Arabidopsis thaliana: one gene and its partner. The protein of the gene in region 2 interacts with the protein of the main gene of each other region in a pairwise test. Each region holds a gene or a part of one and is shown on either strand. Other genes may lie near its edges.

The links.
Region 1: the proteins of RPAC43 (region 2) and AT4G35540 interact in a two-hybrid assay, tested with the Arabidopsis thaliana proteins (one study listed by BioGRID).

Annotation. Positions count from the first base shown.
Region 1 is NC_003075.7:16,871,878-16,876,321, reverse strand, and holds AT4G35540 (POLLEN-EXPRESSED TRANSCRIPTION FACTOR 2), read right to left. Parts: upstream 2,488-4,444; 5' UTR 2,384-2,487; coding exon 800-2,383; 3' UTR 724-799; downstream 1-723. Other genes in the region: WOX13 (WUSCHEL related homeobox 13), read left to right, coding at 1-299, 423-508; AT4G35530 (phosphatidylinositolglycan-like protein), read left to right, coding at 3,042-3,233, 3,557-3,641, 3,740-3,794, 3,998-4,136, 4,281-4,397. UniProt on the Arabidopsis thaliana protein: Plant-specific TFIIB-related protein that plays important roles in pollen germination and embryogenesis, possibly by regulating gene expression through interaction with TBP2 and the subunits of RNA polymerases. Binds double-stranded DNA in vitro.
Region 2 is NC_003070.9:22,329,079-22,334,110, forward strand, and holds RPAC43 (RNA polymerase I subunit 43), read left to right. Parts: upstream 1-1,815; 5' UTR 1,816-2,146; coding exon 2,147-2,305; intron 2,306-2,390; exon of another isoform or gene 2,391-2,516; intron 2,517-2,610; coding exon 2,611-2,796; intron 2,797-2,874; coding exon 2,875-3,004; intron 3,005-3,099; coding exon 3,100-3,180; intron 3,181-3,273; coding exon 3,274-3,461; intron 3,462-3,555; coding exon 3,556-3,651; intron 3,652-3,753; coding exon 3,754-3,847; intron 3,848-3,974; coding exon 3,975-4,094; intron 4,095-4,188; coding exon 4,189-4,292; 3' UTR 4,293-4,490; downstream 4,491-5,032. Other genes in the region: AT1G60610 (SBP (S-ribonuclease binding protein) family protein), read right to left, coding at 1-108; RALFL6 (RALF-like 6), read left to right, coding at 4,838-5,032.

The DNA of each region.
Region 1 (4,444 bases), on a different chromosome or scaffold from region 2:
ACAAAATGTCTATAACTGGTTCCAGAACCGACGTGCTCGATCCAAGAGGAAGCAGCATGGTGGAGGTTCTTCTGGAAATAATAATGGTGAGTCTGAGGTAGAGACTGAAGTTGAAGCATTGAATGAGAAGAGAGTAGTGAGGCCAGAGAGTCTTCTTGGTCTTCCAGATGGAAATAGCAACAATAATGGGTTAGGGACAACAACAGCAACAACTACTGCTCCTAGGCCTGAAGATCTTTGCTTTCAGAGCCCTGAGATTAGCTCAGACCTTCACTTGCTAGATGTTCTATCAAACCCAAGTAAGTAACAAAGATACCTTTTTAGTTCACACGTAACTGAAAAAAACAGAGACATTGGCTTTGAAGAAATAGTCAAGTAAGTTGTGTCTGTCTCAGATAATTTCTTGTGATTTGTGTTTGTAGGGGATGAGCATCTTGTTGGAAAGATGGGACTGGCGGAAAGTTACAACCTTTATGATCATGTTGAAGATTATGGCATGTCAGGCTGATTGAATACAAGCTGAGGAAACTTCTAATTATCAGAGAGATCAATGAAATGGATTTGGTAGTCAGTCATAAGCAGTATTAGACTTTTGTTTTTCTTAAATTGTTTCTTTCAGGGCTTATTAAAGAAACAAGTAGTTTATCTTATTAATCATTTTCAGAGAAACATTTACATGGATTGTTGAATCGTCTTGTGATGCTTGCTTTGATAATTTCTGCATTCAGAACGATTTTTACATCCTTAAATGAATTATACTGTAAGAAATAAAAAAATTCCAAGAGAAAAACATTTCAATTCAAACCTCTCCAGAGTTGAAAACATGCAAGTCTAACAAAGTTTTGTAATGGCCTTTCTCTATTTCTTCCTCATTCACATTGTGTAAGACCAGAGTCTGTATAACCAAATCCTCCCAATCAATTTCAGATCCTTTCTTCCTTTTCTTCTTGCTATGTTCAAGCTCCAAAGACAACGCACCTTCACTAACATTGTCAGAAGGATGTTGTATTGCATTAATCCGCAACTTAGCTGCCTTAATCTTTTCTCTTCGTCTTTCAACTGCAACGCAACCCTTTATGTAAGAAGGAGGCAAAGCTTCAAGCCCTACATCTTTCTCCAACAAGTCTTTGAGCAAAAGCCTTTTACTCAATTCCGATTTCCCTTTCCACCAATTTTCAGTTGACACCATTCCAAAAACAGATCTCCTTTGCCACATACTCTGACTACTTCCCTGACTTCTTTTCGCAAGAGTCCCACCACAAACTCGATCCTCAAATTCATTATACTTTGTAGACAACTGATTCTCCGATATATTATCATCATAGTTACATAAACTAAGCTGACGTTCACCTTCTACATCAAAATACCGAGACATAGTATCTTGACGAGCATCATCATCATAACAATACATAGATTCTTTGCTTAGGCAGTCCATCACTAAATCCTCCACACAAAATCCATCAGTTCTAACTAATTCTTTCCCAGTCCCTTGTTTTCTCTTTTTCATGGACTTGGCTTCCATTAAAGCAAACAAAGTTCCTGAATGTTTCAAAACATTCTTCACAGTAACATCTTTCGCCCAAGGCAAACCCACCTCTTCAGCAACCTTCACAAGCTTCTCAGATAACTCTTTATACCGCGTTTTACAAGTAGTCAACGAAACACTAGCATCTTTCGCCAAATCATCAATCTTTACCTTCACACCATTCACTTGAACAACAAACGCCAAAACAGCCACAACCAAAGGCATTGGTCTCCTCCCCGTCGACAAAAACCATTTCAACGCACAATTCATCAGGAAAGTCCCTTGCTTTATTATCTTCTCCTTCTTATCCCTATCAACATCAGTCAATCTCGGTGAATTAGTAACCGTCTTGGTAAACAAACCCACAAGATCAAACTCTCGCAATTCCAAATCTAGATGATCCACAACACGCTTAATCATAGGCCCTAACTGATGCAAATCACATCCAACTTCATAAGCAACCTCTTCCATAGACAAAACACCTTTCCCTTCTTCTCTTACCACAGCATAACAACAAGCTCCAATCAAAATAGGGAACCACTCACCTTGTCCAAATTCCCCATCAGTAAGCTTACTAATCATACTCTTAATCACTTCAGTTTTATTACCAAGATTCAATCTTTCTGTTGTCTCCTCAATTAAATTGTTGGCTTCATAGATCTTCTTGTCTTTATAATCAAGAACAGAGCCTCTACCAATGGTGCCTACTCGTATATATGTACCTTGAGGTCCTCTTATGCCGCCAAGTTGTGCCTCATAATTATCATACTCTCGTAATGTCCCACATCCACCGCAATACGAATTCCCCGTGTCTTCGTCGCGTTCAAAGTTGCTTCCATTGCATCTCTTGCAACGCATGATTCAAACCGAAAGCTTCACACTTTAAATTACGGGTTTTTTTTTCCGACAAGCAGAAGAATGAGATTCGGATCGCCGGCGAATCGAGAAGTACTGGAGAGAGAAATCAAAACTAATTAAGATTTGACCTTTCCTTAAAAATAAGCTAGGTTTTTATATTGTCGAGATGAAAACGGCATGATGTTAATATGAATAAAACAAAAACGCCAGGGTGTTTTATTTAGGACGCCACACAGTTTGTATTATTTTCTCTCTTTTGGCTTTTTGTTGTCTCCTCCACCATAGTGCCGTCTTTTATCTCTTTACCGGTAAGAGAAGCCGGTTTCAGATTTGATCAATTCGAAGAATTGTGGCTTTCGTTCGTTGGGTGAATCCTTGCTTCGTCCTTTTTGATAGATTGCTACTGTGTTTTCGAGGAAGTTGTGTGGAGATAGTTAGAGAGATTTATGAGATTTCAAGAGGGGTTATTATAACGCACGCATGGTGTTCGACGGAAAGCCGCAGAGAAGTTTTGTTGCTATCCGATTTGACTGAGACTCAAAGTTTGAAAATTGTTACTTGGGTATTGAGAAAGCTAACCTTGGGCAGGTTCGTATATGAGTTGGGAGTAAAACGACGGTGATACATTTGACTGTTTTTCAACTAAACTAGCTTTGAAATGGTGAGCTTGTCTGTTTCGAATAAGAGATACACTTACATACACGAAAGTGGAAGTAAGTCAACTAGAGAAGCCATTGATATTCACCATGTGATTATCAACGGAAGCAGCGGAACTGGTTATGCCCGTCGTTGGGGGCTTGGTTTCTTCCTTGTGTTTCTGGCGAGTTCTATGTACTTTTTGCTTGGAAAGGTAATTATGCTCTTAGAGAAAATTTGGTTGTTGCCGTTTGTTATTTTGATGTGAATCTGCTTGACATTTGAGTGATTCTGATGCATTGCTTAGAACAAGTGTTGCTAGTACATATCATGAGAAAGGCATACCATTTTGTTTCTTAGGATTGGTGATGGAGTATAGTTTGATATTTTCATTCTGTTGTGAGCATTATGTTAATACATGACAAGGTTTGTATAAAAGCACTTTTCTTTTTTTGTGTTACTTTACAAGCTTGTTTTGTTGTTGTTCCATTTGTTTCTTCTTCACTTAAGTTGAAAGGGATAATTCACATGAAACAGGACAATCCAGCTAGAACTCTTTCTTGGGGCTGCCTTTTAAGTGGTTTCTTGGTTATGCTACATAGTCGCAAGTTCGTCAAGAAAGGTGAGATCCTGGTTCATCCTGATACACGCTTTACAGGCTTACCAAATGATATCAGCTTCACGTTTTAACTAATTCTAGCTTTTCTTTGATTTCTTCAGAATCTGTGATAATCTTGCCAACCTTCGGGATCCAACTTGAAACTCAATATTTAAGGTATGCTTTATCCATTTAGTTAGTATTCTGTTGTCTGCACTCCATGATGGCTTAATGCTTTGAACTACTCCGTATTAGTGGTCTCTAAGATAGGTGGTAATGGTTGAATTTGTTGTAATTATCATGAACCATTATGATCTATGCTTTTAAGTTTTACCAATCATACAAGTACCTACTTTTTTGTGCATGCTTCTGCTTTGCAGTGGAAAAACTGTCTCCAGGTTTATCCCTATTGACAAGATTTTGAAGCCTGTGTTGGTCGAATGTGTCACTCCCATTACGTGTTACTGGAGTCTCTCTTTATTTCTTCGTGGTGAAGAACAACTTACATTGGTGTTTAAGGTAATGGCACCAGTTTGTTTCATTACATTGTGAGAGAAAAACTTCTGCTGACAACTTTGAGAAACAATCTAGAGTTACCAATTATTCAATTCGGGAATATTACTTATAGCAATTGATTTTGAGTTCAATTTCCTCTTTGGACAGGAACTGCGTCCTCCATTGAAGATGTTGGTTCCCATTTGGAAAGCATTGTGTGCTGCTATCGGTACAGACCACCAAAGTGAAACGATAGCTGAAGAAGAACATGATGTATCTAGTTAACTGCAGTTGTGATTAGAGAACTTGTAGATTTGTTACTTGTTGTTGGC
Region 2 (5,032 bases):
CGTCCCAAGCAAGTGAAGCTGATTCAACGATGTGTTTGATTGATACCGAAACTGGCTGTCGTTCATTAGAACCTGCGGCACAGGGTTATCATTGTTGCCTCCCAACATCTTCTCTAGAGCTTAACCGTTTTATGTGTATATATATACCCGTAAAGAACTGAAACAGAAAAATTACAGTAAGAAACCTGTAGACATACGAAACTAATTAGTTGTAAGATATGAAAGCTCAAATATCTTCAGCTTTTGACATGACGAGCCAAGATGTAATAAGATTTAACTGTCCTAAGCAATACAGATTACAATCCAACTAGAGACAAAGTTGAGATCTTTGAGGAAACTATGGTTCATGATCAACTCCTATGTGATGAACTTTCTTTGATCTTGCCTAGGAACCAAATTTAGAGATCATGGTCAAAGATTCATCTGAATATTAAACCAAGTAACAAAAAACAGGCAAAATAAATTATTATGTCAAAAGTGATAAAATAAGGCAAACCTCTGGAACATGGAAGAAAGATAGCAACTCCAAAGAACAAGACATAACCTAAAGATCTTGTAAGAGAGAAGCTAAGAGAAGATTTGTACCTGTTAGAGATTGCCCATAAAAAAAAATAAACCGTAGCTTCCTTCAGATCCTACAAACCTAAAAGAAATCATTATCACAGGCTCACAGCGATCCAAGTTTGCTTATTTGCATCAATTAAAGTTTAAAAAACAAAAAAAACTGTAAAATTAAGAAGTCGAAGAGAAGCTAAATCAATCAATGAATGATTCAGAATCTTAAGAAGAAGAAGATGGGTTTTGATGATAGAAACGCTTTGAAACAATAAAATCCAATAATTTAATTCAAAGATTTTAAATTTAAGGAGAAAGAAGAATAAAAGAAACGGATGGGAAAAAAGAAAGAATGAAATGAATGATGGAAAGGTGAGAAATCAGCAGAGGACAGGACACAGTTGTGAAGGAGTGGGAGGAGTTGGGTGGCAAAGTCGAGATATTAAAAACAAAACAAAAACTTGAAAAATAGACTCGAAAATAATACTAACATTTTTTTTTTGGGAGATGATGATAACAAGAATAGTAATAGTAACCGGTGGCGGTGGTATTGGTTCTGCTGATTTCCCCGTGAGTTGTGCCTTCTCTCTGGTGTGACGCCATTTTACTCTACTTTTCTCCATTTTCCCTCTGTCCTTTTTCTCCTTTTCTATTTTTTTCTTCCTGACCAGTTCAATTCTTCTTCTTCTTTTTTTAAATAAAGAAGAGTTCAAACTTTTAAAATGGGCAACACTAATTTGTTTGCTAATTTACGATAGGGACCCAATGTATGGTCGTCCGGTTTAGTCTTTTTGTTTTTTATTAGACTAAACTAAATTTGAAATCACATGTGGTTTGTTATTTATCTACTTTCGTGTTTGAGTTGATTGGAACTAGTTTTGGTTTTAGTTTTGTTTAGTTTCTTGGCTCATTCTTCTGGTTATCTTGGTATGCTATAATAAAAAAAATACTGGAGTGAGAACCTTCACCATTATGGGTTTGAACTGCCATAACTAAATTTGGAGAATATGATTATTCAGATCGGGTTTGTTTAGAAATCGACATTTCTACTTATATTTGGAAAAGTTATATAGTAGAAAATCAAACAAAATGTCGAATGTTATATTTCTCGTTTCATGATTTTCTATATATCTCATTTGTTTAATTATAAGACAGATTGTTTAGTTCGTTCTTTTCGTTTACTGTTTTCTCAAATTTGTTTTGTAGATTTTTTTTCCATATTCGGCGACCAATCATATAATTATCTTTTAACTAATATGTGGTTAATTAAAAAATAAAAAAATGTCGATTTGGTTCGGACTTAAGATTAGAATTTCGGTTTGGTGGTAACGAAAATTTTAAAAGTCAGAAATCAACCAAACTCCGGTTGGACGGTTCAGCCGCTTCGGTTCGGACTTAAGCCATGCCGCTATTAGAAAAATGGATGTTTTTTTTTCTAGTATTCACACGTGTCCATAAACCCTAATTTTCCAGTTTTATGAAATTGAAGAACGAAATTGAAGTGAAAAGTGAAATCGTGCAATTTTCATCTTCCTCTTCTCCTTAAACCCTGATTTCGGATTCTCACAATCGAACTTGGCTGCAGAGAAGGATGGGGACTAACGAAGTAACAAGGATTGTGACTGATGAAGAAAAGAGAGAAGCGAAGAACTTCAACATATTTGATCTCCCTGACGTTCCTACCGGACTTCCTCCGCATCTTGAGCTCCAGCGAACTCGCGTTGTCTGTAAGAAGGATTCTAATATTCATGTAAGTACTATTCTCGATCAAAATTTACACTCTTTTTAAGCTATGTATAAGTTCAGCTAACTAGAAATTTATTGGCTTTTCTCAGTGTGTCCCATGTGGGTTTGCTATGTTCATCGATTTCGTGTAGATTTACAGAGTAAAGTTTAAAACTTGCTTGTAGAAAGCTGTGAATTTACTGAGTTTGGTCTTAGCAATTTAAGAAGATTACACTGTGGGTTTGTCGAAATCCGAATGATATTGAGTGATGATTGTTTGAAATTTGAAGTCTTTAATGTTCTTCCCTTTCTTTTTGTGTTTTATTGTAGCCTACGGCTATCACTTTCTCGGGTGCCTATTCCTCTATGGGAGTGGACAACAGTGTGAGACTAGAAAACTTCTCTGAGGATTTCAAAGTTGATGTGATTAGTCTCACAGAGACAGATATGGTATTCGATATGATCGGTGTCCATGCAGGAATCGCTAATGCTTTCCGAAGAATCCTCTTAGCTGAGGTCTGCCCACTGTCTCACTACCTCTGATGAATCTCTGATTATTAGAATCTTTGGTTAATAGTGTTTCTTTGATTACAGCTTCCTTCAATGGCTATTGAAAAAGTGTATGTAGCAAACAACACATCGGTTATTCAAGACGAAGTTCTTGCTCACAGGTTGGGTCTTATTCCAATTGCCGCAGATCCGAGACTCTTTGAATATTTATCTGGTAAGAAATATTCTGTGGAATGTGATCCATCTCATTAAGCATATAAACTCTTTGTGTCACGCTTAGTTTTGTTGTTGTTTATCTTTGTGTCATAGAAAACGATCAGCCAAATGAAAAGAACACCATTGTTTTCAAACTCCATGTGAAATGTCTAAAAGGTGACCCGCGTCGTAAAGGTAATATATGTTCTTTGGTTTGCTCAAGAAGAGTCTTTGTTTTATTGTTAGCTCGAGATCTCATGAGAGGTATCATTTTTTTATTTCTTGAAGTCTTAACAAGCGAATTGAAATGGTTACCAAATGGAAGTGAGCTTATCAAAGAATCTGGAGGTTCAACCACAACGCCAAAAACTTACACTTCATTCAACCATAGCCAAGATTCCTTCCCTGAATTTGCTGAAAATCCTATCAGGCCAACCTTAAAAGATATCTTGATAGCAAAACTTGGCCCTGGCCAGGTACTGTTTCTATTTATACTCTTCCCCTTAATTGTGACATTTTTGAGGACTTAATTCCGTTGAGAGATGAAAGACTTGCATCTTCTTCTTGCAGGAAATCGAGCTTGAGGCTCATGCCGTTAAGGGCATTGGTAAAACACATGCAAAGTGGTCCCCAGTAGCAACGGCTTGGTATCGAATGCTTCCTGAGGTGAGAAGTTCACCATAAGCCTTCTGGGAAAAGGACTTAATTAATTTCTTCTTGACTCGTCCTAGGCTTTTCCGGTAATGCTTTTTGTTTATAATATCTTAGGTGGTTCTACTAAAGGAATTCGAGGGTAAACATGCCGAAGAACTCGTAAAAGTCTGCCCCAAGAAAGTTTTTGACATTGAAGACATGGGCCAAGGTGAAGTAAAAGCCTTCCCAAGTTTCCTTCAAATGTCTTTACTTGCTTTTGAGTAACAATAAGAGATTCTGATGAAACCTGAGAACTTTGGCGGCAAATTAATTTGACTTGCAAACGTGGAAAACAGGTAGGAAGAGGGCAACAGTAGCTCGGCCGCGTGATTGTTCGTTGTGTAGAGAATGCATAAGAGATGGAGTGGAATGGGAGGACCAAGTGGATCTGCGCCGTGTCAAGAACCATTTTATATGTAAGAAAAGAAAAAGAAAAACACAGTTCCTTCAACCTGGCAATTCCATGGTACTGAAAGAGATTCTAATTGAGTTTCTTATCATCTTTCGCAGTTACAATTGAGTCCACGGGATCACAGCCTCCGGAGGTTCTTTTCAACGAAGCAGTGAAGATATTGGAAGATAAATGTGAAAGAGTAATCTCTGAACTCTCCTGAAAAGAGATTAAATTGGTTTAGCTCTACCGGCTTGGTTCCGGTTTAGTTCAGTTTTGGGTTTTGTATCGAAGTTAATACAAAGAACATTGAAATTTATATATACTTGGTTTCGGCTCGGTTCAAATTTAGAATATACATGTGAACGTTGAAGAGTAGATGGATGTACGTACGTACACATTCATCAAGCACTGAACAGAGTGAAGAAACAACAGAACAGATCAATTTTTACAACAACGAAACAAACAAACACTAACGACAACACAGATATTCACGAAAGTCTTGTTGTGGCCGATAAATTTGCTGCCATGCTAGAAACCAACCGAACATATTAACCGAAAAAACTGTAAATGACATATAAATAGCCACGAAACTCTATCAGCACATACATTATGCACTGGCCGTCTTTTTTTTAGAATCATCCTTCTCATTATAAATCAAAGAAACACAAATTAATAATTAATCACGTATTCAAACTACAAAAATATAATAACACAGAAAAATATCAAGAAGTTTCAATTACATTGTTTTTGTTTTCTCAAAAAACAATGGCTGCACACAAAAAGAGTCATATCCGCATTTTCTTTGTTTCAGTAATGATTATATTATCATTGTTCAGCGGATTTGGAGAAGGACAAACATATATAAACTATAATGGTATGAAAGGAGACATAATTCCAGGTTGCAGCAGTAAGAATCCCAAAGAATGTGTCAAAATTCCAGCATACTCTTACAATCGTGGT